4 linked regions of the Pelodiscus sinensis genome follow. The protein of the gene in region 4 purifies or fractionates together with the protein of the main gene of each other region. This does not show direct contact. Links are inferred from orthologs where the notes say so. Each region holds a gene or a part of one and is shown on either strand. Other genes may lie near its edges. The genes, in order: PDS5A, CIP2A, C19H19orf25 and SLC30A4.

The links.
Region 1: the proteins of SLC30A4 (region 4) and PDS5A purify together in Homo sapiens (affinity purification with mass spectrometry; 3 studies listed by BioGRID and IntAct, counting the BioPlex papers as one, with this or other methods). This does not show direct contact. The link is inferred for Pelodiscus sinensis from reciprocal best matches to the Homo sapiens genes SLC30A4 and PDS5A.
Region 2: the proteins of SLC30A4 (region 4) and CIP2A purify together in Homo sapiens (affinity purification with mass spectrometry; 3 studies listed by BioGRID and IntAct, counting the BioPlex papers as one, with this or other methods). This does not show direct contact. The link is inferred for Pelodiscus sinensis from reciprocal best matches to the Homo sapiens genes SLC30A4 and CIP2A.
Region 3: the proteins of SLC30A4 (region 4) and C19H19orf25 purify together in Homo sapiens (affinity purification with mass spectrometry; 3 studies listed by BioGRID and IntAct, counting the BioPlex papers as one, with this or other methods). This does not show direct contact. The link is inferred for Pelodiscus sinensis from reciprocal best matches to the Homo sapiens genes SLC30A4 and C19orf25.

What each region holds. Positions count from the first base shown.
Region 1 is NC_134715.1:92,597,941-92,605,322, forward strand, and holds the start of PDS5A (sister chromatid cohesion protein PDS5 homolog A), read left to right. Parts: upstream 1-4,378; 5' UTR 4,379-4,806; coding exon 4,807-4,833; intron 4,834-4,869; exon of another isoform or gene 4,870-4,988; intron 4,989-5,588; coding exon 5,589-5,759; intron 5,760-7,382. UniProt on the Homo sapiens protein: Probable regulator of sister chromatid cohesion in mitosis which may stabilize cohesin complex association with chromatin. May couple sister chromatid cohesion during mitosis to DNA replication.
Region 2 is NC_134711.1:155,149,138-155,156,264, forward strand, and holds the start of CIP2A (protein CIP2A), read right to left. Parts: upstream 3,001-7,127; 5' UTR 2,801-3,000; coding exon 2,699-2,800; intron 2,616-2,698; exon of another isoform or gene 2,526-2,615; intron 1,212-2,525; coding exon 1,064-1,211; intron 1-1,063.
Region 3 is NC_134729.1:17,423,369-17,430,933, forward strand, and holds the start of C19H19orf25 (UPF0449 protein C19orf25 homolog), read right to left. Parts: upstream 3,015-7,565; 5' UTR 2,906-3,014; intron 1,845-2,905; 5' UTR 1,818-1,844; coding exon 1,682-1,817; intron 1,191-1,681; coding exon 994-1,190; 3' UTR 1-993. Other genes in the region: REEP6 (receptor expression-enhancing protein 6), read right to left, coding at 7,375-7,424.
Region 4 is NC_134724.1:21,136,979-21,144,421, reverse strand, and holds the start of SLC30A4 (putative proton-coupled zinc antiporter SLC30A4), read right to left. Parts: upstream 3,018-7,443; 5' UTR 2,614-3,017; exon of another isoform or gene 2,367-2,613; intron 1,932-2,366; 5' UTR 1,815-1,931; coding exon 1,418-1,814; intron 1-1,417. UniProt on the Homo sapiens protein: Probable proton-coupled zinc ion antiporter mediating zinc import from cytoplasm potentially into the endocytic compartment. Controls zinc deposition in milk.

The sequences.
Region 1 (7,382 bases), on a different chromosome or scaffold from region 4:
GGATGGGAGAAGGGGTGTAGAAAGGAGTGAGGGTGCAAGGTCAGGCTAGGGGGCAGGAGAGGACTGGGGGCTTGCTATCTGGCCAGGGAGGATTTTGGACAGGGGGCAGGCTGACTGGCCAGGAGGCTGGGGTGTCTGCTGGGGGCAGAGGGGATTTTGGCCAGGCGACTGGAGGCAAGGGGTGTCTGGCCAGGAGGGATTTTGGCCAGGGAGCAGGGTGACTGGCCAAGGAACTCGGGTTGTCTGGCCAGGGGCAGATAGGGTTGCCAGGTGTCCCGTATTCACCCGGACAGTCTGGTATTTTCACCTCCTGTCCAGTAAAAAAAAATTCAGAGAATACTGGACACCTGAGATATCAGGTGTCCGATATTTTCTGAATTTTTCCCGGGTCAGGAGTCAAAAATGCCAGGAACCTGGCAACCCTACAAACACTCAGCCCCTGCTTCCCCCCCACCATCCCTGGCCCCCAAAACTCCCAGCCCCCATGCTTACCTGGTTCCCCAGGGTTGCCAGCACAAAATGGCGTCAGGCCAAAAGACCTAGGGGAATCAATGCTTCCCCTGGGTCTTAGTGCTCAACCACTCCCCTGCACTCACTCTTAAAGGGGACATGCTGTTTTAATGCTGTTTTGTTTTTTGTTTACTAAGTCTTGGAGTCCTTCCCCCCCCCCTCAACAACTTGGATCCCCCCCCTTTTCTTTTCCTTCAACAGAATTTTTTCCCAGTGATTTTTCTCTTAGGGGGGCGGTGTTCGTTATTTTTGTTTCAACTATCTGGCAACCCTGGGGGCAGAGGGGATTTTAGTCAGGGGGTGTCCGGCCAGGAGTGGGGAGACGGGTTGGTTGGCCAGGGGGCAGTGGGTGTCTGGCCAGGAGGCAGGGGAGATTTTGGCCTGGGGGCAGGAGATTTTGGCCTGGGGGCAGGAGAGTTTGGACTGGGGGAAGGTGGCTGGCTCTGGGAGTGAGCGTGTGAGGGGCACTTACTTGTTTTCGCACCATGCGGCAAGCACTGTGTAACATGCCACCCGCTGCTCCCTTTTGCCAGCAGAAAGCCTCCGGGAAGGGTTGCAGGGAACACTGCAGGAAGCATGTCCCAAGGGAACAAATTAGCAGTACACAGGGAGCCATCTTTGGTTACTGGTTTCCCCCACGCTGGGGGGAAGGAAAAGTGTCACACCAAGCCATGGTTAGCTGTTTGTTCCCTGCATGCTGCATCTGCTGGGGAGCCTGGGCGCTCTGTCCCCCACACTGGTGTTCTAGTCTTGCAGGGACCATAAGGCTGTAGCATCAGCACTGACTCCATGCTTCAGGTAGAGCAAGGGAGCAGGGGCTGAGTTGGGGCTGCAGAAGAGCCATATCTGGCTCACAAGCCATAGGTTGCCGACTCCTGCCCTATGGACTTTGTTCCTCACAACAGCAGCCCCTCCCTTTGCACCTTATGGAAAACTGTCCTTTTCCCGGGGCTCCGATTGTTCTGGCACAACCAAACTCTGTTCTTATTTTAAGTTAGAAGATGAGGAAGCTGTATACTAAATTTGGTGGCCTTAGCTCTTACCATTTAGGAGGAGTTCATGAACAAAAAGACTCGTACGCTGACAGATATATTCCAATATATATGCATGCTTTTAGAGGCTATATATGTTCCAGCAAGCAATGCTCCATCTTGTTCTTCAGCAAAAGAGACGGACAGCTAGCCTTATCTTGTATACTCTGCATTTTGTTTACTCCTAATTTAGACCAAACTAATTGGTAAGGACTTGGGCCTAATTTTTTACCCTTCTATCTCATGATCTGTCAAATCAATATTTCTTGGTTTCTTTAGATGGAGTTACTGGAAAAAGTTATAACCATAGAATGAATCTAATACCAAAAAAGTGGAGTGCAACATTGTTCTCTCACACAAATAAGATAAAGTGAAATTGTGGACAAATAGCAGTGGGTTCAGTGATAAACTGCTTCTGAAGATCAGTAAGAGACTTTTTTCTTTTAAAGAAAAACACCAAACATTAGAAACCCAAGAAATTCAGAGTTAAGGTTGCACTTCCCTACCATGACACCCAAACTATTTTACTCTGCCTCCGTAAATATGCCAGATTACTCTTTTGTATGTTGGGTATAAAAAAGTGCACCAATGAGCATTGTAACTTTCTTGTGTAAGCACATGCTGACCTACATCCTCATTTACTTACCATCCTAAATGATTCACACAGTTTTTGTACATGTACATCATATTTTGTTTTCCTATCTATAGATAGGTATTCCAGTTTGTTTTTAACTTATAATTTTGATTCAAATATATTAAAAATAATTAAATGGATAAGCACCTTATTTGTCCGTCTAATTTGGGGAGCAATGTATAAGGAGCAGGAATGGAAATTAAGAACTCTAAACATTTAAAAAAAAACCCCACAATTCATTCATGTCCATATCAATTCAAAAAAAAATAATTGTGACCATATTTTTGTATCCTGTTATTGTTAGTGAAATGTGACTGCTAGTACTGAAATGTTCCAATAGTATGTCCAGCAGTATTAGCTGTAGTATATTTCTAATGGTGCCTCTTAAGTTTGCTTTGGGTAAAAACAATTGAAGTACATTCTACTGGTTTCTTTGGGATGACGTTTTTATAACCTGGTCTTGTAGCTCACTGTGTAGTTACCAATATGTTACAACTAGACCCAGTAGTGGCAGTCTGGGTGCTTCTGATCCAAATGGGTCTGGGTGGAGTCTAGTTACTGTTTCTAGCTTTGGGAATATCTGTTCAGACCTCTTGTTGGACACCTTGAGTAGAGATTTTAAAATGTGCTTAATTAATTCACTGCATAACATGAAAAGGTCAGTGGTTACATGCACCTGCCACCTCTGGTGCAGAAGAGGTAGGGGAACAGTTCCCTTCTCACAGGTACCAGGCTTTTAAGTTGGCTCCCCACAGTACACGGTTACTTTTTCACATCTTTAGCACAGAGCAGTCCATTCTTGCATAGACCTGCTTCTCTGCTGTGTACTAAACAGAGAATCTCCAGCCTCCATTTGGTTGTGCTTGTCTCATCCCCTCATGTAAGGACACTGAATTAAAAAAAAACCTTCATTCCATGGGCATGGCCCTAGATTGCAGGGTTGACTGCTTCTCAATAATAAGTTTTCAACAGTGTCAAGAACTTTTGCATGAAAGGGGAACAGTCCGAGAAGTGGAATAGTTTAGACGTGTTCAGCACATTAGCAGTTTTTAATTTGACAAAGACATATCCTATTGTTACAGACCTAACCAAAATGTGTTCAATTTCTAGGAAACAATAGATGAAAGACTATTAAACAGCTATAACTTTTCTTGAGCTCATTCACAAGCCCTCATTCTCTCTGTATTGCTCCTGAAGCCCTGTATCTGTGATGAGAGCTAAGACTTTCTAGCTGACAATGTCATGTTTGACAAATAAGTTGACTACAACTTATATGCTATATTTTAAAACTGTAGATATTGCTTCCCTTCTCCTACCCAATCTCTGTTACTTTGCCTGTCTAAAGCTTGGAAGTTAGTTGGACAAGGTTCTGGCTACTTATCTGATTAGCCATGGGTGCTACTGGAAATAGATCAAATATGGGAAAACTCCTTGCACCAATCAGAACTTAACAGCTGCAAGTAAAGTCAAGTAGAAGGCAAACATGAGTGTTCAAAAGTTAGTTGAGACCAAAAGGAAAATGCTGTTCAGCAAAATCATTTGGAGTCTTTCGCTGAGGTGCTTTCACTAGGGTGCACTTCTTTCTGGGCCAGCTTGTATGGAGAACAAACGTGTGACACGCAAGGGATTAACTCATACTGGGGAAGTTACTAACTAGCACAGTAACTAGAAGCTTGGGAGCGAGAGAGCTGGAATCGCGGGAAGGCGCTGGGCCCAGGCCAGCAAGTGAGGTAGCACCTGCGCACAGGCCAAGCTGACAGTGAGCGTCCTGCCCCAGAGCTCACAACCGAGCTAAAAGGCAAAGGGTTCGGGGTCCGCTCCGCCCCGGCAGGATTCCCGCGGATTTCCTCTTGCTCCTAGCTCGCCCTGCAGTGACCCGCCGCCCTGTTACTTTGAAACTGGCCCCGGAGGCAGCATAGCCTTGCTGGAGAGGGCAGTGGCCGAGCAGGGATTCTCGCCCGCCTATCAGAGTCGTTTAAGCGCAGCCCGGCCAGCTGGCGAGGCGGGAGGCACAGGCAGGATCCCATGCCACATCTCGTCGCTACCCTCGAGAGTTGGGGGGCGGCTGTGCCTGTGGCCCTGACAGGCCGACCCTGCTCAAGCTGCCAGTCCCAGCTTGCCCACTCGCCTCCCCCCTTCCCTGCCCGGCGGGATCAGCCGGCTCGGAGCTGCTGCTGATTTTGGCGCCAAGCGAGAGGCGGCGCTGCCGCGGCCGTGCCCGGTACCGCCTACCCCGCTGCCGCCCTGCCTGAGCAGGGCACAAGGCGCGAGGGAGACGAGCTGGGAGCGGGTTCTGCTGCTAGGGTGGGGCAGGGGGATCCCGGCTGGGCGGCGCTGGGCCAAGCCCCGGGGTGGGGAGGGGGGGAAGAGTAGTGTGGAGCCTCCTCCTGGGCTGTTCTTCCCCGGCCGGACGGAGAGCGGCACTGTGTCCCCGCGGCGCGGCGCACGCTCCGCCTGAGCCGCCCCCTCTCACCCCCGCTCCTGCCGCCGCCGAGCAGCCTCCCCCCCACCTCTCCTGGGCAGCTGCCGCCGCACCGCGGAGCAAGGAGGCAGCAGGAGCAGCTAGGGCGCCGGCCGGCCGGCAGTGGCGGAGTAGCAGCAACAACACCCACCCGGCACGGAGGCTACTCAATGCTGCACCTTCCGGAGCTGCATGAGGTAAAGGCGGCTCCGGGTCCCGCTTTCCTCCTCCTCCCCTCCCCGCGGCAGTGCTGGGGGGGCTCTTTGTAGGCTTCGCAGAGCTAGTTGGGTGAGGGGCTCCGGGGCGAGATGAGGGGCTGGCGCCGAGGGTACCTGAAGTTGAAAGAACAAATGTAAAGTGGAGACTGGCCTGGTCCCCTCTCGAGGGGGGCTGCTTTCCTCTCGGGGGGGGCAAGGGTCAGGTAGGGGGCTCAGTGCATGGCTGCGCGGGGCCGGCCGGCGGCAGCGAGGTTTTGTTTGGGATCCTAGCCACCTCCTCTCCTCCGGCTGGTCTCTGCCTCCTGATAGTTTTGAGGCCTAACTGCTTAGGCCTCGTCTCCCAGCTCTGAGGCTTCTGTGACGGCCTCAAAGACCCGCTGGGACCAGGATTTTGTCCTCACCGACCCCGCTCAGGCTATAATGGGCTTTAAACTCGAGGCATCCTTTGGTTTGGGTTAAAATTTCATTGTAAAATCTGAGACTGCAAACTAATAATGTTGGGCTGGAGGAACCTCACACTGAAAGGAGACACCAGAGGAGGGTGGAGAGGTAGAAGTTTTGGGATGAGAGGTGGCTTAGTGAGGGGCTTCCGAAGCCCTGCTCAAGGGGTGGGGGTGCAGGATGTTTGCCCTCTTGATATTAAGTGGGGCCTTCTGTGAATTGAGGTTTAGAAATGGAAAAAGAGGGCTGAAAGTAGTCTCTGTTCCGCTGAACTTTTGTTTTCTGACCGATAGAGGCCGGTAGAGGACTGTGGAGAAGGAAAGTTTATAACTGGCGGCATAAGGATGGACTTTCCTACTACCCAGCCAAAACCTTCTGCCGATGGTAAGATCATCTACTATCCTCCCGGAGTAAAGGAGATCACAGACAAAATTACCAACGATGAGGTGGTCAAACGGTTGAAGGTAAGTGCCTCTTCCCCTCACCTCTTATTAATCTAAAATGAACTGTTGAATAATCAATGTTCTAATTTGTGTGTTCTAGAATATTTTAATTTGACATGAAATAAACTACCCATAAGGGGTGAGTGGTGGAAATGGGTATATGGATTACAGGAAGCAAAAATTTGTTTTTAAATGTAACAGTTATTGAAAGTTCCAGGGTTTTGAAAAAGATGCCATAGTCCATGGCACTGCCATTGTGGGAGTTGATTATAGAAAACTGGCCATTATTGATTATGAAGTTATTTCTCATTAATTTAAAGCACATGTTATAAACATAGAACTGCATTTCCAGAGTTGCACAACTAAACTTTGGAATATTTTTGTGCAGCCTGCTGCTTAAATTGCGTAAAAATTGCAGCATTTTGTGTTCAAGCTATTTAGGGCTTATTTACTCTTAGAGCTAATTCAGATTAAGGTAGCATGTGGATTTAGAATGAAATAGCTGTTCTGGAATAATTCCATGCATAGATAAGACCATAGTGTAGATAAAGTCACAAAGTTGTTACTTTTTCATAAGGAAGAGGGATTGTCACAAACATGTTTTTTTTTTTTCTTCCTTTTTTTGTTTTTGTTTTTGTGGACTCAGGGGTTTACAGATGGCTTTAAACCATTTTTTTCAGTGCAGAACGTACAGATTTACCTTGTTAACTTTTATGCCATGGTATATTGAATGTATGCTGAAAATAGAGAATAAAATCAGGTATTAATGAAATATCAGTGTTACTCTATTGATAGCATTGTGGTCTTTGTATTCAAGTCTTAAGCTAGGATTTGGGTCCATGTTTAGGATATATTGTATACTGTGTAGTACTAGGAGGGTTTTGTCTAATCTGATTTTTATGGCTCCCATCACTGTAGTAACTGTGTCTGACAGTATTGAAAAATAGAACTAATAAATTATTCTTTAATTCTGTAGAAGTAGTAACTTGATTAGTTTTATAGTTGATATGAAAAAATGTTTTTTGTATATATTAAAAATGTATTTAAGAAATAAGTTTTGTATTTTAATTCTGGAAGTGGCAAGCCTGCAGTTCTCTTGCATACGTGAGTTCCATAATTTAGTTCCAGTCTTGTGAAAGCTCTGTTGCTTGCATTCATGAGGCTCATAAAAAGTTTTTTTTTCTATTGTTCCAGTGGAACATAATTGTGGAGGGTCATGATTATAGAGGAAATGTCTCAAGGTTGAGTTTGGCTAACATCTCCAAAGGACTTTGAATGTTAGGACAGAGATCATGAACTGGAATTTGTAGAGAATGGGTGAGCTAGCATAGTGTGTGGAAAACATGAGTAAAGTGTTTATGTTCGACTATATTTTTCAAGGGTGTGCATTCCTAGATAATTTGTAGGATCAAGCTTTGAAGTCATGAATGCATAGATCACTGTGGCCACATCTGTGTCTGATGAGATATGGCATATTTTTCTGGACAGTAGTAGATGGAAGATGTCTTTCTCCTCCCTTTCCCTCTCCTGTAAGAAAGCATGATATTTTAAAAACAAACATAAATCTGCTTCCAGTGGAGTTCTTAAAAAAAACACATCATTACAATTTAGGCATAAATTAACCAGACTGTGTCCCTTGAAGCT
Region 2 (7,127 bases), on a different chromosome or scaffold from region 4:
GTTTTCCCCAGTAAGATGGGAAATGGGGGACCTCAAAACTCAGTTTACTCACAAATCAAACGCACCTCAAGATAGAACTAGTCACACTATTGAGTAAACAAGCAGACTTTTATAAAGGAAATCACTGCCATTATAAACTACTCATTCTCATAACTACCTCCAACCATGACTTATCACCCTTGGATAGAGTACAAGAAACTTACAAAATAATTTAATAAGCTTAATATAGGCATTTCACCTACATTACTGCTACATTTTAGGAACCCATAAAGATCCTTTAAAAACAGATTAACTACCCCTTATCACTGCAACATACACCCAGACGTAATAAACCTAAAATGGGCAGCCCACTTCCAATACTCTGCAACTTAATTTATTTCCTGACTTTCATGGACCAGAGAGAAAAGATCACCCTTCAAGCAGATCCTGGAGATTGGCTTGAATAAGCCTGGAGCAAGTTCCAAAATGCATCCCTGTAACAAATGCCCTGCATTCTGTTTCATATCTCAGTCACTTCTGCTGACTGCAACCGGGAAGCATCTCAAAGGGAAAGCAACTATCAAAGAAAATTAATATTGCCATGTGTCATTCACCGGTTACATAAGCGAGGTTGATGTAGAGAAAGAGATACACACCATCATATGTTTTGAATGTTAAGACAACCACTGACTGTATGGATTTAGGATCAAAATTCTCCTATATGGGTATATTAGATAGCAGTCAAGCAAAAAAGCTTTTACATAGTCTTCTGAAGCATCTGGTATGGGAACTAAATCAGATGGCTTTTTTATTATTCAGTTTGGCAATTTCTGTGATCCCATAAAATGCAAGACATTAGACATTGCCAGGAATAAAATAGAAAACTAAATTCTTGGTAATTTTTCTCCAGCACGCAGTTAATTCCCCATCCCTAAAATCAATGCAATTTGCACAGATAATATAGCAGATAACTCACTTCTGCATGCAACCTGTCACTGATTCAAACTGTTTTAAGATTTATTAAAAATGTTTGAAAAATGAGCTTTAATTCTCTTAAAAGAAAAGTTAGATGTAAATAAATTACCTAGTTGTGACAACAAAGTAATCACAGACAATGTTAGACATGGACTTATATTTGGGTCCTCGATGAGCTCTATTAGACAGCTCAGACATTCGTTAGGCAGTATTTGGTTTGATGCAAACAATCTCGTTAGCTTCAATCCAGAGATAACCTAAAAGACATGTTAGAGTAACTATTAATATAGCTACAACCATATTTGTCTCATTTCAACACAAGATTGAGAAGGTAGTTATACTAGGGATGTAAGTAACTAGTCCACTATCCGGGACTCCCTAGTGGCCCTGGCCTCCACACAGCATTTCAATCTTTGAAATGGACAAGAGCCCCTCCTGGTGCTCTTGTACATTTCAAAGGCAGAACGCAGAAGTCCTTATCGACTCATCAAATAATTGATGGAAATTCCATCGACTATTCTGTTAATTAGTTGAAATTTAACATCCCTAAGTTGCACTGAACTGAAAAGATAATACTGTCAATAACTCTAGCATCACTAACAGCACACTGACATTTTTATTTGCCTTTTTCAAGCTCACTTTTGTTGAATTTTTAGAATTCTGGAAATATGTTTTTCATTACTGTAGTGTCCTTTATATTTTAAAAAAACATACATTTCTTATCTTTCCGGGGGGAGGGGGTGGAGGGAGAAGGGGAGGAGGATAGGGAGGACAGAAATTCAGGGATTTTCATGGGCCAGACTAACTCTTCTGGAGTCCCAGAACTGGTACTTTTTTGGGCCCTCCTAGGTTCTGGAGTAAAGGATTTAGTGTACAGTACTGGACTGCTGGGGAGTAGGATAGAGATGGGGGGCACAGGGTCTGGTAGGGTGTAAGAGCCGGCTGAGAAGTGGGGGGCCTGAAAGGATGAAGGAGTGGGCTGAAGGAGGGGGGAGTGCCTGGCCAGGAGGTTGGGTGCAGGAGAGGGCTGGGGGAGGGGGGGGCAGGTCTAGGCAGGTGGCAGAGTGCAAGTGTATATAAAATAGCGTTTTCCTTTACTCGGTTCCTGTGTCTAAAGGAGCAACAGAACCAATTTACTTACTACACAGGAAAAGCAACACAGTGACCATATCTGAAAAGATAAATTGACTAGAAACAGAAAAAAGCTCCCCGTCGTGCAAGTTACTTCTGTAGCGTCACGTCGGGGCCCCCAGAAGCAAGACCAACAATAAATACATCCAAGAAGTGCGATTTCCAAGGCAGCGATGTAATGAGACCAGCAGCCAAATCCAGAACGAGATGATGCTGCAGAGGGAGGGACCAAGTACCACCCCTGACAGATTTGCCCCAGGTTGCTAAACGGCCCCCTCAAGGATTGAACTCACAACCCTGGGTCTAGCAGGCCAATGCTCAAACCACTGAGCCCCCCCCTCCTCCCTCGTTGCCTCTGCAACCGCCCCTGAGTTCCAGAGCCAAAGGGCGCGGGGCGGGGGCTCGAGCTGAGTGTCGCGGGGGGGGGGGGGGGGGGATCCAGCTGCTGTAGCTTTGCCAAGCCCCGCGCCTCCCAGCATCGTTTTTTTTTAAAAGCCCCCCGGGCTCTAAGAAAACACGCGCCCGTTACGGTAGGACCCACAGTAATTCCCCCCCCCCCGTGGGGGCGGGCGAGCCTGAGCAAGGGGCGTGACGCCGCCGGCCGCGCGCTCACCTCCAGGCTGCGCTGCAGCAGCGCCGCGTGGGGCTCGCTCCTGGCGGCCCGGTACTGGGCGGCGGCCAGCAGCAGGGACTTCAAGCAGGCCGCGGCCTCCATGCCGCCCGCCCGGCGCCTCACGCGCGCAGCCGAGTCGCAATCGTATTTGGCGCCCGAGCCGCCATCTTAGCTACGAGCCCGCAGAGCCAGCGGCCCCTCCCCCGCGCGGTGCATGCCGGGAGCGGCGCGGACTGAGGCGGTCGCCATGACGCTCGGGGCGGGTGACCTGAGAGCTCGGCTCACAGGACTGGGAGGAACCAGTCTCCCCGCCGCGGGGCATGCTGGGAGCGCGGTGGCTCAGCGGGGGGCGGGGCTCTGCCTTGCTGCTGCCTGGGCGCTTTGTCGCTATTGGGCTGCGCTGGGGTCAGTGGGCGGGGCGTTTGCTGAGAGCCAATGAACCCAACTCTAGGCTCTGCCTATGGGGAAACCACTGCAAGGGGGGGGGGCAGCATCCCCCAGTTCCTGCCCTGGTGCTGGCAGTAGCAGCAATGCAGACCCCCTGCTCCAGCCAGCTGGCACGGAGGGTGCCTGGGAGCTGCAGCCCCTGCCCCAGGCTGTCCTGGAAGAGCAAGAGACCGGATGGGTGTCCTGGGGCGGGATGTTACATTTTGATTCGTCAGCTAATGGTGCAGTTGGGATGTCCACCCACTACTACCGGATTAGTCCATAAGGGCGTGAGGTGGGGCGTTCGCTATCCCCGCTGTGCCCCTGCCTTTTAAATGTAGTAAGACCTGCCCATGCAACTCTTACTATAATTAAAAGGTGGAAGCGCAGCAGTCAGGACCTGGGGTGAGCAGGGATTGCTTGGCTATGTCTACACTGGCGGGTTCTTGTGCAAGATGTTTTTGTGTAAACATATCCACTCTGCCATGTACTTTTGCGCAAGAGCATCCATGGTAGTGTGGATGCTCTCCTGCACAAGAAAGCTCTGATGGCCATTTTAGTCATAGGGCTTTCTTGCGCAAGAACCCCCTGCCGTGCATCCACACTGCCGTCTTGCATAAGGGGTCTTGTTACACTTGGTAGAAAAGAGAGTAGCTCTTGCGCAAGAATCCCTCTCTTACCATGCTTAACTTTAAATCTTGCACGAGAGCAGGCGGGCAGCATGGATGCTGTGTGGAAGAACAGCTGTTCTTGCGCAAGAACCCACCAGTGTAGACATAGCCTATATAGTAGCATGAGCTTTTGTGGGCACGTTCCACTCATCTGAAGAAGTGGGTTAAGATGCTTCTGTTACCACCCACACTCCTAACTGTCACATTGTCCCCATGCTGAGAAAGCAGGAGCTGGTGCTGGGGGGGAAGAGCTGGTTTAAAAGCCTGTTCTCCCCAACACTGGCTCCAAAGGGGTGGGAGTGGGGCACAGAGAAGGCAAAGGTATGAGTGAGGACTCAAGGGCTATGTTTACACTGGCAGCTTCTTGCGAAAGAACATCTTGCTCAAGGGTTCTTGCTCAAGGGTTGAGCAAGAACTCTTGCGCAAGAACACGTCCACACTCCCATATGCAAGATATGCTTTTGCGCAAGAGCATCCATGGCAGTGAAGACACTCTCTTGTGCAAGAAAGCTCTGATGGCTCTTTTAGCCTTAGGGCTTTTTTGCACAAGAAACCCCTGTCGTGCATCCACTCTGCCCTCTTGCACAAGAGCTCTTGTGCAAGAGGATTTACATCTGTTAGAAAAGAGCGTAGCTCTTGCACAAGAAGCCCTCTTTTACCACGCTTTACTGTAAATCTTCTTATGCAAGAGCGAGTGGATAGTGGGGACGCTCTGCAGAAGCATGGCCCTTCTTGCGTAATAACGCGCTGGATGAAATATTTCCCTTATTTCATAGAGGGATAAGGAATCTTTTGGAAAAGGCTTTATTTTCTGCAAGATCAGCGTCTAGACAGGCACTTTTTTCCGGGAAAGCTTCGTGCAGAAAAAAAGCGGCAGTCATTTTTATGCTAATGGAGCAGGGGAGATTTAAATCCCCGCTTCATTAGCAATTGCGATACGTCTAATTTACAACCCTTTTACAAAAAAGGAATGTAGTCTAGACATAGCCTCAGGGCGTGAGCTGCCTGCTATTTGGCTGCTAGTGAGTGGTCTAGCAGCAAAGTATTATGAAGCATCCCAGATTGCAGGGCAAGATGATAGCCCCCTCACTCATCGGGGTTGATCCCCAAAATGTCATAACTGGACCCGTTTAAGGCAAGGTTCAGTAGGGAAGAGAGATGAGAAGACGAGCCCTCCTGTCTGGTTCACAGGAGGGCGGGGTTCTGCTCCTTTTTCTCACTTCCTTTGAAAGCCACTTGGACTCCTGAGAGGAACGAGACAGAGTTTTCTTCTCCTTTCTGCAGCAGTTCTGATCACTTGTTCTTCATTCCAGATATAGGCAAGAAGGGCAGGCAGCCAATGAAATCAGCAAGGTTTTCCCTCAAACAGGTCTGAAGTCTGCATTGCTACCTGGCTCAGACTGTAGCAATATTATTTTGGGTCTGTGACATGGCACACTTAAAGCACTGATAATAAGAGAACATACAAACGCCCTTTATCTCTAGGTCACCTAAGGTACGACTACACTACAGAGGAAGACTGAAGTTACCACTGTCAATCTTCCAGGTTTGAATTAGCGGTCTAGTTAAGAGAGCTAATTTGAAGTGAGAGGGGCACTCTGATGCTGGTCGATGCTGGTAACTGCTTTCATGAGGAGTAAGGGAAGTCGAAGGAAGAGTGTCCTTTTTGACTTCCTGCTGTGTATACAGCGCCAAAAGCCAAGTTAAGCTACTTCAGCTATGCAATTGATGTAGCAGAACTTGCGTATCTTAATTCAACTTTGTCCTGTAATGTAGACATACTCCTAATGACCAACAATCATAACCACCCTGAAGTTGTTTAGTAGCCTGGGTGAAATAACACTATGTTAGTTCTGCTCTAGAATATAAGTGTTTATCTCAGAAAAACAATTTCACTTAATGACTGGCCCACTGGGCACTGGCTAAAAGTTGAACAGGAAATCTAACTGCCATTTTGATTCAGAAGTGGCCCTCTAAGTTAGAGTTAAAGTACATTGGGGTAAAGACACTTGTGGTTTCCTGTGCTGAAGTGGTTCTGCAGCTAGTGAAGAGTCAAGTAAAGAGAGTGTTAATTCTCTGGGACTTTCAAGCTAGAGTCCCCAGAATGAAAACTGATTTTCAACACTGTTTTTCTTATTCAGGCTTGTGTTGATTTAATATAATCATAAAAAAATGTCCCATAAAGATATCTGTAGGAAGAGCAAAGTTAATGAACTTTATTCAGATAATTGATGTTAGAATGGGGAGGAGGCTGTCGAGCTCTAATATAAAGCAATAATACCTGTATTTCTTTAAGATTTTTCCTACAACACCAAACCACTTTTTCTCCCTTGGGCAACAACTTACTTTCCCATGCAAATCAATGTTGTGGCTGTCTACTAATCTTCTTGGAGGTGAAAGGATTACTTTAAACACCTGTTTGTATCACAACACTGCAAATACCCTTCAGTTACAACAGGGGTAGGCAAGATATGGCCCGTCGGGTGGATTCGGCCTGCCAAGCCCTGTGATCTGGTCCAAGTCTATTCCTGTAGCCGGGAACAGCACCAATAAAAGTGGCTAGCTGCTCTGTGTTGCTCTCTGTGCTGTGGGGAGAGGCTTCAGCATGCTGCCCCTGCCGCCTGAAATCAGCCAATAGGAGCTAAAAGATTTTGCTGGGGAGGCAGCAAATGAATCCTCTCCCTTCCCCGCTCCCTTTCTGGCAGTGCAGAGAACCACGTGCACAGCTTAGTTAAGCACCTCCCGGCCAGAGCCTGCCTTTGGCACCCAGCCCCTTCCTCCCCTCAACTCCCTTCCAGACCCTGCACCCTCTCTATGCCCCTTCCCCAGGCCAGAATCCTTTCTTGTACCCCAGTCTGCTATCCCTAGCTCCCTTCTGCACCCAGACCCCACAGCCCCTCCACAAAAAAGTGTCACCCTTGGCCACTTACCAAAATCTTGGCGTGGCCTCCCCATCACAAATTATTGCCCACCCCGGCTTACAAAATGTGGAAGGACCAGCCCTTTAAATTTACAATGAGCCAGTAGTCAAAATTCACAATTATCTAGTATGTTACCTGAAGCAGTAAAAATGTCACACTATTTCCACAAATGGTGACCTTCAGAAGAAAAATGTATAATAAGCAGATCCCTGGTTTAATTATTTAAAGTCAACTCTTGTTAAAAAAAAAAAGAAATGTAGGCACCACAGAGTCATTTGTTTTCTGTTTTAAATGCATGCGACAAATGCAATTCTCAAAACAAATGTTAAATATAAAAACAATCAAACTGTTCTTAAATGCATCTTTGTAGAAACTTGCAGTCCTCAAAATAAGTCTTTAGCAGTACCATGA
Region 3 (7,565 bases), on a different chromosome or scaffold from region 4:
TACACAGCACATCTGGGGCTCAGCTGGGGGCGGAGAGCCTGGCATACAGCTCAGCTGGGCTGGGTAAGGGTGGGGCCCGGGAGCCAGCATGTGGCTCAACTGGGATGGGGCAGGAGGAAGCCAGTGGGGAGGGAGGGGCAAGACAGGGGATGGGGCCAGAAATGACCTCCCTTGGTCTGGCAAAATCCCTCATCCGGTACCAGTCAGGTCGCAAGGGTGCCGGACCAGGGAGGTCCCACCTGTACTTAGCCCCACTTGCTATCGGCTGACCCTGCTTTTCACACAGGTCGCTTTGGAGGCGCGCTCGGCCCTCGCTCGGCCAGCGGGAGGCCTGAGGGCTTTCAAGCTCTCCAGCAGCCTCCGCTTAAAGAAGGCTTGTTTGTAGCAGAGTTCGTTCAGATGCCTTAACACCAGCGGCACCTGCTCTTTCTTGACGTCCACGTACACCGGGATCATCTTCGTCCCCTCCTGCTCGATCACATGGTGCAGGTTCCACTCCAAGACGCGCTGACACCAGGGGTCCGCCAGCGACCGGGCCGACAGGATGACGATAGCGACCCTGCTCGCCTGGATGACCTCGGTGGCCGTCATGAGGACGGAGGTGCCTGCCACCTGGTCCTGGTGCTCGGCGTAACCCCGGAAGCCTTGCTCGTGCAGCATGGCGGAGATGCAGGACGCAATTTCATCGTCGTGGGGGCAGTACCAGAGGGAGAAGTCATATGTAAACCCAGAGGGGATGGGGGACGTCATGCCAGCAGTAGCTCCAGATCCTCCATTAAATCAAAGCACACGCCGGCGTTACGTGGGTGGGTGGCTTTCTGGGCTTCGGATTTGGATTCCAAAGCAAGACGCCACCCTGGGGAGGTCTGTGAAAATCTGAGCCACATTGAGCATTGGTTCAGGACTAGGAGGGGGGGCTTTTTATTGTCGAGGGCAGGCCCTCCAGGAGCATAGACAAAAAGCCAGCCCAGTCTCCTCAAAGACCAAACCGCCTCACAAAGCCTTTTCCCTAATTTCCATGACGTTCTGTTCCAAAGTCACGCCCGCCTGCTTCAGCTCTTCGCATTTCTCCTTCAGCAGACTACAGGCTTTCTGCAGCCGCTGGGTCATCTCCACGTAAGAATGACTCTGCTGGTACAGGCACTCTCGCTTCACTTCAGGGTCCTCCTTCCTGCCAGGGGCTGGCAAGTCTGGGGAGGGGAAACGTGGGAGGAAGAGACAGAGAACAACAAGGGATAGTCTTTGAACACAAAGCTAAGGGCTGGTCTACGCTATCGGGGGGGATGGATCTAAGTTACGCAATATCAGCTACGGGAATAAGTAGCTGAAGTCAATGTACTACACGAGATGTGATAAATCGACACCTGCTGAATCGATTGCTGCCCATCGAGCTGTCCGGTAGCATAGACAAACCCTAATGTACATTTCGGAGCAGACACCAAGCACAGGTGCGGCTTTGAGGCTATTAAGAGGTGTCCTCCAAGAACAGGACTCCACAACTCATGGCATTCAAGCCAACAAACTGGCAGGGTGGCAGCACCGTTCAAGGCGCAGGAATGCAATGTTCACTGAAGGAGAAGTCGTAATGCATAGCTAAGACTGGAGAGGCTGGCTGGGTAGAATTCCTACTGAATGCACTCGCCGGGACTCCAGGGTAACGAGCTGGGATGCATTCTCCTACCTTTGTTGGTCTCTGCTAGAAGGACAAACATGGGATCGGATGGCTGGGCGCTGCTGAGGTCCTCGAGAATCTGTTCCACACTGGGTGGCTCGGGCCGGGTCGGCAGAACCACCCGCTTCTTGCCCTTGGAGCTCATCACTCTTCCGCCTCCGAAACAGGCATCCTAGAGCAGGCATGAAGAGAGGCAGAGGCAGTGACGTTCCTGCCCGCTGAGATGCTGCTGCACCCCTTCCCTGCGACTGGCTATACACCCCTTAATCCCTGGCCCCCACCCCCATTGCTAGACACCCCCCCGCGCATGCCAGATCCCTGACCATTTCTACCCCCGCCTCAGACCATACACCCCCACCCCTTCCTATCTCCTTCTAGTAGCGCCTATCCACTCCCCCATTCCTACCCGCCCCACGTGCCAGATCTCTGCCCCTGTTCCTACCCTGCACTGCACATCCTACCCCCCATGACCATATAACCCTGCCCCCTTTGCTCCCCCCCCCCCCCGGCCATATAGCCCTGCCCCCTTTGCTCCCCCCCCCCCCCGGCCATATAGCCCTGCCCCCTTTGCTCCCCCCCCCCCCGGCCATATAGCCCTGCCCCCTTTGCTACCCCCCCCCGACCATATAGCCCTGCCCCCTTTGCTACCCCCCCCCGACCATATAGCCCTGCCCCCTTCGCTACCCCCCTGACCATATAGCCCTGCCCCCTTTGCTACTCCCCAGCCATATAGCCCTGCCCCCTTTGCTCCCCCCCCGGCCATATAGCCCTGCCCCCTTTGCTCCCCCCCCCCGGCCATATAGCCCTGCCCCCTTTGCTACCCCCCCCCGACCATATAGCCCTGCCCCCTTCGCTCCCCCCCCGGCCATATAGCCCTGCCCCCTTTGCTCCCCCCCCCCGGCCATATAGCCCTGCCCCCTTTGCTACCCCCCCCGACCATATAGCCCTGCCCCCTTCGCTACCCCCCTGACCATATAGCCCTGCCCCCTTTGCTACTCCCCAGCCATATAGCCCTGCCCCCTTTGCTCCCCCCCCGGCCATATAGCCCTGCCCCCTTCGCTACCCCCCTGACCATATAGCCCCCACCCCCTTTGCTATCCCCCCCGGCCATATAGCCCCGCCCCCTTTGCTCCCCCCACCATATAGCCCCGCCCCCTTTGCTCCCCCCCACCATATAGCCGCCGCCCCGCCCCGCCCCGCCCCCCAGCGGACGCGCCCCACGTGCCCACCCACCTACACGTCCACCTGGCTGCGGACGCGGCTTCCCCCTTCCCAGCCGGCCACCGTAGCCCCGCCCACGGCCCAGAACCACTGCAGGCCCCACTTCCGGTTCCTCCCCGCCGCGTCATTGGCGTTCCGCCCCCCCCCTTAAAGGGGCCGCGCTCCGCTCGCTGGCACCGCGGAGGGGCGGGGAAGGGGAGGGAGAAGGTGACTCAGCCACAGCCCCTCAGACCCGCACTCTGCCCCCCCCCCCGCACCAGGGTTCCCTCCAATCCTTCCCATCCACGTGCAGAATAAATTTTGTTCTGTGCACGCAGGCATGTGCACCACCGGGAGACACACAGGCTGCCGGCTGCGGGCGCCCTGCTAATCAGCCAGGGGCATTGGACTCTTCTGAGTGGTGAGCACCCAGCTTACAGGGAACGCTGCCCTGCACCCTGAGCTCCTCCTCCCCCAGCAGCTGCTCCATCCCTGCTCCCTCCCCCAGCTCGTGCATTGCACGGGGGAGGTGAGCACAGCGCCCCATTGCAAAGCCGTGGGCAGCTTGTGAGTGGGAGGCAGGGACTTGTGCCTTGAGGCAGCACGTTTGACATGGGCTGGGGGACCCCCCGTAACAGAAGCAAACCTGGGACCTCTGGCACCTCGTGCAGGAATCTCCGCCCCGGCAGCTAAGGCTGTAGAGCAGACTCCTTGTTCTCTGTGTATGTGATCTGAGGGCCGCTAGCCGGGACAGCAGCACATATATAGGTGACTGGAGCCAGCAGGGGCGGAGGCATGTAGGGGCACCCCATTGACAATTACAACTTTGGCAGGAGCATGGGGGGCGGTGCACCTTAAACATGCTACCACAACTCACCTATGGCTAGCAGGGTCAGTGCAGCTCCCCGCCCACCTGCCGCATGGAGTGCCTGGGCTGCACATGAGGAGTTCCCTGCCCAGTGGCAGCCCAGCTGGGCCCGGAGCAGCCCACGGGGGGCGGGCTGGGGGGCTGTTCCTGCCTGGCCAAGCCCACCCCACTGTGGGCAGACCATGCCGGCCCCCACCTGTAGGATCTCATTTAAGCCGTTAACTGATTAAATGGGATTTTACATCCCTACTTGATACACAAACTTAGTTGCAAATCCTTTGGTCTCTATACAGGCAGTCCCCGGGTTACGTACAAGATACGGACTGTAGGTTTGTTCTTAAGTTGAATTTGTATGTAAGTCGGAACTGATACATATTGTAAGGAAAACTCTAGCCAAACATTTCTCCAGAGCTCAGTTTTATTCTCCCACACCTCACTTCCCTCAGTCCTTTATTCTCAAGCTGAGGTGTCTGCTGAGAAAAGCTGCTCCGCGTCTCCCTGGTCTGCTGGGGGGGCACTAGCTTCGTGTCTCCCTGGTCTGCTGGGGGGGGGGGGTACTAGTTTCGCGTCTCCCTAGTCTGCTGGGGGGAAGCAGCTAGTGCGGGGTTGCCTCACCCCATTTGTAAGTAGGGATCCAATGTAAGTCAGATCCATGTAACCCGGGGACGGCCTGTACTGCAAGGCGAGTAGCAGAGAGGCTAAGTTCAGCCCTGGCTAAAGCAGCAAGTAACTCACGGACGCTGGGGCGTTGCATCCACACTGGAGCCGATTCAGACCATTCCTAAGTGGTTACCCTCAGAGGATGTCTGCTGTCCACGTGAAGCAAGCCAAGGGCACTCAAGTGCCTGAGTCCGGGCCTAATCTCCCTTCTGAGCCTCCTGCCTACTCCAAAAGTGCCCCCTGCATAGGGTGGAGATGCTATGGCAGAAGGGGGCATCTGTTGTCTTCAGAGAATGGTTATAGGTCTAGAGAACATGAGCTGGGAGGGAAGACTGAAAGAATTGGGCTTGTTTTGTTTAGAAAAGAGAAGACTGAGAGGGGACATGAGAGCAGCTTTCAAATACCTAAAAGGGTGTTACAAGGAGGAGGGAGAAAAATTGTTCTCCTTGGCCTCTGAGGACAGGACAAGAAGCAAGGGACTTAAACTGCAGCAAGGGAGGTTTAGGTTGAACATTAGGAGATACTTCCTAAGGCTACGTCTAGACTGGCATGATTTTCTGCAAATGCTTTTAATGGAAAAACACTTCCATTAAAAGCATTTGCAGAAAAGAGCGTCTAGATTGGCATGGACGCTTTTCCACAAAAGCACCTTTTGCGGAAAAGCATCTGTGCCAATCTAGACACGGTTTTGCGCAAGAAAGCCCCGATCGCCATTTTTACCATCGGGGCTTTTTTGCGCAAAACAGTTTTTAGCTGTCTACACTGGCTCTCTTGCACAAAAACATTTCCGGAAAAGGCTTTTGCCCGAATGGGAACGTCAAAGCATTAGCGCAAGCAGCACTGATTTCGGACAGTAGAACGTCAGTGCTTTTGCGCAAAAGCAAGCGGCCAGTGTAGACAGCTGGCAAGTTTTTGTGCAAAAGCAAGTGCTTTTGCAGAAAAACTTGCCAGTCTAGACGCAGCCTAACTGTCAGGGTGGTTAAACATTGGAATAAATTGCCTAGGGAGATTGTGGAATCTCCATCTCTGGAGAGATTTAAGAGCAGGTTGGAGAGACACCGGTCAGGGACGGTCTAGATGGTGCTTGGTCCTGCCCTGAGGGCAGGGGACTGGACTCGATGACCTCTCGAGGTCCCTTCCAGTTCTAGTGTTCTGAGATTCTTTAGCCCCTCCTCTAAGCTGCTGTAGGGGGAACTTCCCTTGCACTCAGCAGGTCTGTGTTTCACCCGGACTATCACCAAGCACTAAGAGAACAAGCAATGCAAATAAAACCCATGCACAGAACAGAGTCGGTCAGAGTCCCCTTTATTCTGTCTCAGACACAACCAACGGAGACAAAGAAACAAATAAATCGGGGAATGAACCACCGTTCCTTGCTAATAAAAAAAGCAGGCAGGGCATGGAGTCACCCCTGAGGCCGAACGGAGGCCGAGTGCGCTCTACAAAATGCACAGCTTGTTGCGGCTGGGATTATGCAAATCAGATCAATGCCTGTTTTATTTTCGAAGGAGGCGGGCGCGATGGAGAACCGCGAGCCCAACGCAGGCAGGCCGCAGGTTCCACGCCTGAAGGGCAGAGGGAGAGTGGAGGAGGCAGACGATCAGGTTTTTTCATACACGGACCCCACTCATTCCAGGATGATCTCAAAGTAGTGAAAGCCCAGGGTCACCCCCCTGGGAAGCAAACGGGCCAGGAAAGCAGCCAACACCCTGCTGGAGACCCTCCCTTGTCCACTTCTGGAAGGGCACGGCCCAGCCAGCACCTAAGCAGACTGTCGGGACACGGGTGATTCCCAGACCCTGTTGCTGATCACGGCTTGGTGCTCCTGTCTCCAACCACATTCCTGGCACCTGTGCAAGACCCAACACATCCCTTCCTGGCCTGGAGCCTCCCTCCAGGTGGGGACTGGAGCAGAGGCCCCCAGGCAGCTGGGGCAGGGAGTGACGAAGGGGAGTTAGAGAAGGATCTCTGAACTGCCAGGGCAGCTTGGTCAGGTATGAAACTGCTAGCAGGGAAGTGCAACCGGGACGATCATGAGTCAGCACTTCAAGAGCGCTGAACCCAGGCGTGACCTGCCTTCTCTCAGAGCTCACCCCCCGCCCTCGCACGGCTGGCTCCTTTGCCCAGCAGGCCGGCCCCGGGGCGAAAGGGGGAAGCAGGGCCGCTGACCCGAGAGAAGCAGCTCAAGACTGGGCCAGGGGAACTGGAGAGCCGGGCCTGGGCCGGCCACAGCGAACCCGGACCAAGCCGGAGCCATGGAAAGACCCCTGGGACTCAGCGCATAGACCCCGTGGCTACGAAACCCACGTCCGCCTCCCTTCTGGGCTGTGGCTTATTGCGGAGGCTCTTGTGTTGGGACGAGGGAGGGGGGCTTCATAGCCAGTGTTAATTGGGGTGCAGTCATTCCCCCAGCCCCACGGAGTCACACTGCATCCCAATTCCCCCCCGGCCCGCAGGCCCCCATAAGGCTAGAGGGGCAGGTCCCAGGTGGGGGGGGCGATATTCCAGAGGGGCTGCTTGCACAGGACTCCCTGATCACAAGGCTCAGACAACCTGAGCTCCAGCCCAGCGAATTCCCGAGGGCCCGCAGCAGCGGATTGTACCCCTCCCCCGCCTCACCCCGACTTCGACCCCGTGTTCTAGAACACGCTGGGGAAACGACACCGAAAGCCCCGCCCCCAGAAGAAAGGCGCCCTGAGAAACAGGAACTACCAAACACTGTCTATTGGAAGTCAGCGGTTCCCACGGAGCCTAGGCACGGACCGCCCCCTTGCAGAGCTTGGTTTGGGGAGGTCTGTGCTTCTTACAGAGCCCTGGGCGGCAGGGGCTTGTTGGCGCTAAGGGCTGGCGAATGGGAGGGGGCTTGCCGCTTTATCGCCGGGAGGAGCGGGGTGTCACTTCAAGCTTTTGGTCTAGGAAGTTGCAGTTGGGGCGGGGAGGGGATCAGAACAGCCGGCCGCTGGGAGCTCCGTCCTCACTTGGTCTTGTCAGATTCTTGACCCAGCTGCACTGCTGCTTTGGAGGCTACAAAGAGGAAAATAAAGACAATTAGCACATCGGGCACCTGTCCTTGGGATCATTCTTTCCCTTAGAGGTCCCCCACTAACCTCTGCCCCCCCTTCCCGAATAAGGGAAGTACTGTCTCCATTTTACAGACCACGCCGC
Region 4 (7,443 bases):
ATGTAAAAAGTATGAAGTGTCTCCTAAATTTTACAAGTGTGGTATTCTGTCAGGGGAACAGGCTCAGTGTTCGAGCATATGACAGGTGCAGGGAGCACGTCTCTCTTACTTGCGCACACTCTGCCTTTTCATTGTAAGTGAATCTGAGTAATTATACAGATATTTAGACTTGACGGGGTATAGGGATGAAGAATAGCTGCCACGAGGCCCAGCAATTTAAAAGGACCCAGGGCTTCCAGCCGCCACCACCACTACATCAGCAACAGCAGCAGCCTGAGTCCCAGGCCCTTTAAGTTGCTGCCAGAGTCTTGGGTGGCAGGCACAGGGTAGCACTGAAGGACTGGCTGGGGAAAGATTAGTCTCCAGCCCCTCCCTTTCCACCTAAGGCCTCACCCGCTATGAGGACTTAGAACCAGCCTCTTTTCCCTCCCCTCCCCCCTGCCCCCCTGCCCAGCACCTTGCCTAGAGCCTGGCAAAGTCTGACCACTTAAAATAGTTGAACTTTAAACAAAAAGCTGGTCTTAATCTTATCTATTAAGATTACAGTTGCTGTTCCACTGTAATATAGTCATATGTGTATAGATTTACAGACTGCTGTATCGTGCTATTTCGGTTAAAATGTTATAGATCTCTTGAACATGAACTGGAAGAGATAACATGCTTTGATATCAAAAGAGCTCATCAGAGATCAATAAAAATTGAACTTGAAAAATGAGCTTATTACTGTTTTGAATGAATCTGTAACAGGAACAATTTTGGAGTGAAAAATCAGCATGTTTTTCCCAATTCCAACTATTAACGACGTCTGGAATTTTCAGTAAATCATATGATCAGAGTAATCCAAAATCATTTGTTGCTTTAAAACAACATACAATAGACACTTTCATGTTGCTTATAATGACAGCTTAGGATACAAAAATAACTAGTTCAGTGTAGATGTTAGTCCATTAGGGAGATGCAAAACAGGAAGCTGTAAATGACTGTAATCTTTACGGGATTTTTTTCCCTTTCAATGATAGAACTAAATTATATTGCTGAATGATGTATCTGGAAACTAATATAAATAATGACGTTTGAAGGCCCTAAAATCTTATATAGACACTGGTATTATGCTATTAAAGGGAAACAAACTGAAAATGTCTTCTTTGTTGATAAGATCCTCATAAACATCAACCAGGGAAGAGTTAATGTTGTCAGTGTCCCTTTAAACTCTTTCCTTATGCTAATTGCCTGCTGACTCCCTTTACCCTGAGCACTCTCTGGACTTTATGCTGAAATCTGTGGGTCTCAAACCAATACACAGTCTCCTTTAGCAAATAATTAAAAGAAAATTGTGTAATAAAACAGTGTCCTAAAAAAGCACAGAGGCATTTTTCCATTAACCCTTGAGAAAGTAAGAAAACCAAATCCAACTTACCTATGAGCTCTCCAATCATAAAGAATAGATAGAGAACTGCAGCCAGGGTCAGTCGTTTTTTCACCTTCCTCTGTTTTGATAGTTCCCTCTGTTTACTGCAATTGCTGCAAGGGTCTGTCCTGGAGGAGCTAGTCTGTGTGCTTCGCAAAGCAATATCCCGGTCCAGCAAAGAATCATCGTCGGACTGCAGACCTAGGTGAGCCCCATTGACAGGTATGTCTGGAGCTGCATCCGAAGTGTCATCAGAAACTACCACTCGCAACTTGTTAAACCGGGGACAGTCCTCCTCACCCACTTCTTCAGAAAAATCAAAGGCACTGGTGTCGTTCAAGAACAAGGGATCATCGTTCCTTCTCAGCATAGATTTGATGCTGCTCCAGACCTTGGACTGGGCCATAGTAACTGCAGCCAGGAGCTGGGTGTTGCTGCTTAGCTGCAGCCAATTCTCATGCAACTTCCCCTGGCAGGCAGAAATGCTTCATGTCACCGGCCATTCAGGACATTTCCTCCAAGCCTGAGGAAATCAGATAGTCACACGTTCAATTCATAAATCCAAGTGAAAATGCACCTGTGAGTGGGGGGTTATTCCAGGTAATCCTGTACTAACCAGCCCTCTTCCCGAACCTCTGACTCAGGCTGGACTGACCATCTCCAGGATACCAAACAGGCAGTAGAAGCACACACACAAAAAACCAGAATCGATTTTAAACAGCCCCGTTCGTGTCCCTCCCCTGGCCTACTCGCTGTGCAGCTGAACAGCGAGCACTGACTACAGTAGCAAAGGCGTGTTCGATACCGACCGAACCCAGCCCTCCTCGCACAGAGCACACGGGAACAAATGGTGACACTCTCCTGTTTAAAATTATGCTGAACAGCTGTTGCTCAGGAATCTCAGGTTTGCATTGCTGAAAAACACAGGCAGGTCCAACCTGTGGGAAGGGCTCAGTACCTTGGTAGGGCTAACAGCACCCCCGCCTCCATGCAATTCAGATCCCTCGGGTGTGGACTCGGGTCATTCTCTGAACTCCCTCGGAAGGGGCAGCACCTCGCCAGAAAAGGCTGCCCTGGTGCCGGGCAAAGCCAGCTTGGGACAAGCCACGGGAGGATCCGGGCTTTCCAACAGGAGCATGCAGCAATCCCTGAGTGAAGAGGGAGGAACCGCACCTCCCTCTGCAAAGCCAGCGTCGGGCGTTTACCCCTTTGCTCCCGGCTGCTGCATTTCTCTCTCTCTCGCTCGCTTTCAAGACAACCAGGCTTGCTACTGCTGCTGACTCGCCGGCCATACAGGGCGCATGCGCCGGCCCCCGTGTCGGGGCCGTGCGGGAGAGAGGCGCAGTAGCTCGGAAGGGGGCTGGCTGGGCGCATTGTTCGCATTCCTCGGTCGGCACTCAAAGTGGCGCGCGGTCTGCAGCCGCCTCTGCTATGCCGCTGGTCCCAGCCTAGCTTGGCACAAGCCCTGCGGGGTCTCCCGCTGGGCCTCTGCCTCGCCACGCGCCCGTGGTGAGCAGGCTGCTGGCTTGCACGCCGGGGACGGGGCGCAGAGAGAGAACCGCGTCGCATGTCCTGTTGTAGGCTACACAGTCTCCCTGCAAATCAAAGGGTTACACAGCGAACCCTGGGCTTGTGGCAAACTGGGAGTTGTAGGCAGCGGAGGCTCCTGGGGTCTGTAGTGAAGTTGTCTGAGATGGCTGCCTCTACAGAAAGTTACAGCTTTTCCAGTCAGGCCAGTGGTTAGATATATAACTATCGATCTCGGACCTACAGCCCAAATGTTTAAAGTGCTTTAACTCCTGATGCCTGCATGCAAATTGAGGGGCTGTGTCCTTGTTTAACTGCATGCTTGTACTTGGGTGGGATTGGTCCTGCCTTGGGCAGGGGGTGGACTTGATGACCTCCTGAGGTCTCTTCCAGTTCTATGCTTCTATGATCAAATGTCCCAAGTGGGCTGTGCCCATGGAAGCTCATGATACCATCTACATGTTTTGTTAGTTTATATAAAGTGCTACCAAACCATTTGTTGTTGTTTTTTTTTCTGTAACAGACTAACTCGGCTATCCCCTGAAGTTCCGATTTTCTAGAGGTCATCCCCTTTCATCGGTTAACCTGTTATCCCCTGGTTGCGTCTCAACTGGCATGATTTTGCGGAAATACTTTTAACAGAAAAGTTTTTCCGTTAAAAGTATTTCCGCAAAAGCGCGTCTAGATTGGCACGGATGCTTTTGCGTAAAAAGTGCTTTTGTGCAAAAGCATCTGTGGCCAGTCTAGACGCGATTTTGCGCAAGAAAGCCCCGATTGCCATTTTAGCCATCAGGGCTTTTTTGTGCAAAACAGTTCTTTCCTGTCTACACTGGCCCTCTTGCGCAAGTATTCTTGCGCAAGAGGGCTTTTTCCCGAGCAGGAAAGTATTTGCGCAAGATTTTGTACATTACAAAGTCAGTGCTCTTGCGCAAATTCAAGCGGCCAATGTAGACAGCTGGCAAGTTTTTGCGCAAAAGCGGCTCCTTTTGTGCAAAATCTTGCCAGTCTAGATGCACCCCTTATGTTTAGCTGATTAACCAGTTAAACTGGATTTTACATTCCTACTATGTGGATAGGAAAATGGCTATTCTGGGTAAGTATATTCATTAATATTTCACATATTTGTAATGTGGTTTGAAAGACTTTGGCTAAAAAAGGCACAAAATAAAACTAAATGTTCTGTTACTCTGTAACCAGTTCCTTCTATGCAAGCCCACTTTACCACACAATTTGCACACCAATAGGATTAACATAAGGACTATATATATATAAAGCCCATATTGTTTTTTGAGGTGTGGAATTTTAAGAAGCCCAGGAGTCTTGAGAGATTTGCACATATCAGAGTCCTCTTTGAGATGGCTAGACTGCTTAGTACTGAAGTCATGTAAAAAATGTCTTGAAAGTTGCATCTTGTTTCTGTTTTCCCCAGTACTTGTGGCAATAAAGGCAGGATTGTTTACATTCTGTTTCACATGCCTGTTCATCTGACCTGGCACAGTAATATAATCATTTTGCCACTTTGGGGAGCCCTCTGTGCACCACTTTCCTGACTCTACTTAATGAAGTAAGGGGTGTGAACTGCTTCCCTTTGAAGCTGAGAGCTTTGCCACTGATTTAGGGGGGAGAATACAGTCAGGTGCACCTAGCCTTTGCAGACCCCTACAGGATGCCTTGGAGTCCCACTTCCCCCCAGACTCCAGCAGCAAAAGTAGGTGCTTTAGCCTAGTCTAAAGAGGCCTCACAGAAGCAGGAAATTGGAGCCCATTAGACTCAGATAAAAAGTTTCAGAGGTTAGCAGATCAGTTTTTTTTCTGGGACAACAGGAGAGAAAAAAGGGGCTTATCTGTGGCCTGGAGATAGATAAAAGGAGCCTGCTAGGAAGAAACCCATGGAAGTAACAGCAGTTAATTAGACTAATCAGTACAGGGTTCCTGTGTGTAGGATTCTTAGGTTGGAACCTGGAGTAGTGGATGGGCTTGAGTTCCTCTGCCACCCCCAGGTAAATTGTCTTAATTTCCAAAGAGGGAACAGGGCTTAGTTGGGAACCCAAACAAAGGGCTGAATTTAAAAGGCCAGGTGCTGGGGCAGAAGACCCTAACACGGACAAACAGACTGTCTGTTTATGGGACTCTTAAATGTCCTAGGAGGGATTCATGGGACTTTTTGATTTGACTGGAGAGACAAATAACTGAAGAACCCACCAAGGGCAGAAGGGAATCTCCAGAGGTCCCAAGGAGTGGGAAAAAGACTGCAATATGGCACCCAGCAATAAAGAGGTGCTCAGGAAGTCAGTGTCACTCATCACATAGAAGAATTAGCTTCTAGGTATAAGGTTGGCAAAGCTATTAATTGTAATTAGAAAAGTAAACTTGAATATGTTACATACTGATATGTCAGTTGTATGGTGTTGTAAATAAAGGTGTTGTTGAAACTGTCATTTTTAATGTTGTATACAATACTCAGAAGCTGATATCTTAATTCTGGTGCAGCTATGGGCAGTAATTTTTGCAAGAGGGCCACTTAATTCATTTTGGTATGTGGTCATGGGCTGGCTCCACTCCCCAGAAGGGGCGGGGTCTGGGACAGAAGAGGCAGTGCTGGGGACTATCCTCCCCTCAGAATTGTCTGGGACCAGAGGCTTTGAAGTAAAAACACAGCAAAGGGTTTGTGGCTTCCGGCCACGTCACTACTGCATTGCCTGACAGCCATCCTGGGTTGCTGCAGCTGTTTAAAGGGCTCGCCGCTCTGGCCCCTACTGGGGTAGTACCACGACTGGGAGCCATGAGCCATTTAAATAGGATCCTGCTGCCTGAGACATCGCCTGGACATTTGGTGACCCGGGCAACAGGATAGAAAGCAGCCAGATGCTGTCCACGGGCTGGATCAAAGTGTTAGGCGGGCCAGATTCAGCCCCCGGGCCACATCTTGCCCAGCCTTGGCCTAGAGTGACCCCTGTTCGTCACAAAGAATCTCCATTTTGCCAACTGGGAAGTTTAATATTGGCTTCAATAGCATCAGGAACTGGCTCAGTGCCTACCAGTAAAAGCAGTGAGTTCTTCAAATACCATTGTAGACATAATTTTATTAACAGCCCTTAATGCATTTTTCATCTATGTCAAATGTTTTGCTGCACTTTCAATCATTCATTTTGCTATAAAGATACTTTGCATTTAAACAGTTTTTTCATTGCTGAAGAAGCAAAATAAATATGTAGTGTCAGGCTCTTACCCAGCAATTGACTCCACAAAGTGATTAATACAGGAATCTCCCTATGATAAGAAAATTCCTAGGTTCTGTTGTTCCTAGATTGGTGTATTATGACACCAGTAGAGCCACTGAAAGAAGGCTACCAGAAGTCCGCAGTCCTAGCTTGAACTTTTAACAGCCCTTTAACAATTGTGTTCCAGCCTGATCTCTGTAGGTAGGTCCTACCCTCCCTCTGTTCTCCACACAAATTACAATTTTATTTTCTCACTTATTTCACCATCCGTCTGCATCTCTTCCTGAACCTCCAGGTATTATAAGAATCCCAGATTCCCTTCTCTGAACCTCCAGATCTCTGTTCCCGAGCACCTACATATCAGTCTTGACCTACCCAAACAATTATTTGTATCATCTCTCTCCAGCCGATCTCTGTTATTTTCAGTCCTATCTAGGCATTAGGGAGCCAACTGCACAGGCACCTGTGCGCACGCACACATGGCTATTTTGCCTCCTTTTATTGGTTTTCATGACAGTCTGCATCTGTGAGTCTGATGGTGACTCCATCACGACACTGGAAATGATTTGGGCTCAGGGGAACAACTACACACCAGGGCTACGTCTAGACTGGCATGATTTTTCGGAAATGCTTTTAACGGAAAAGTTTTCTGTTAAAAGCATTTTCGGAAAAGCGCGTCTAGATTGGCAGGACGCTTTTCCGCAAAAGCACTTTTTGTGGAAAAGCGTCTGTGGCCAATCTAGACGCGCTTTTCCGCAAAAAAGCCCCGATCGCCATTTTCGCGATCGGGGCTTTTTTGCGGAAAGCATATCTCTGCTGTCTACACTGGCCCTTTTGCGCAAAAGTTTTTCGGAAAAAGACTTTTGCCCGAACGGGAGCAGCATAGTATTTCCGCAAAAGCACTGACAATCTTACATGAGATCGTCAGAGCTTTTGCGGAAATTCAAGCGGCCAGTGTAGACAGCTGGCAAGTTTTTCCGGAAAAGCAGCTGCTTTTCCAGAAAAAGTGGCCAGTCTAGACACAGCCCAGGAGACAGGACAGGGTATGTTCATCTCAATGTAAGGGACAACTAAAGAAGCTCATATTTACTGTTACCCCCTTTGACTTGAGTGGTTAGTTGAAGTTTGGGGCTCTCTGCCAGTGTTCCAGTGAAGAGTAGAAATTATGATGGAGCCTGGCATTTTCTTTGATGCAATCTTGTTTATGTATAAGGAAGGTACAAAGTCCTGTTTCTGTGAACATAGCAGGAATCCCCAAATAGCAGGAGGCAGTGCTTTTGTTTTCCTT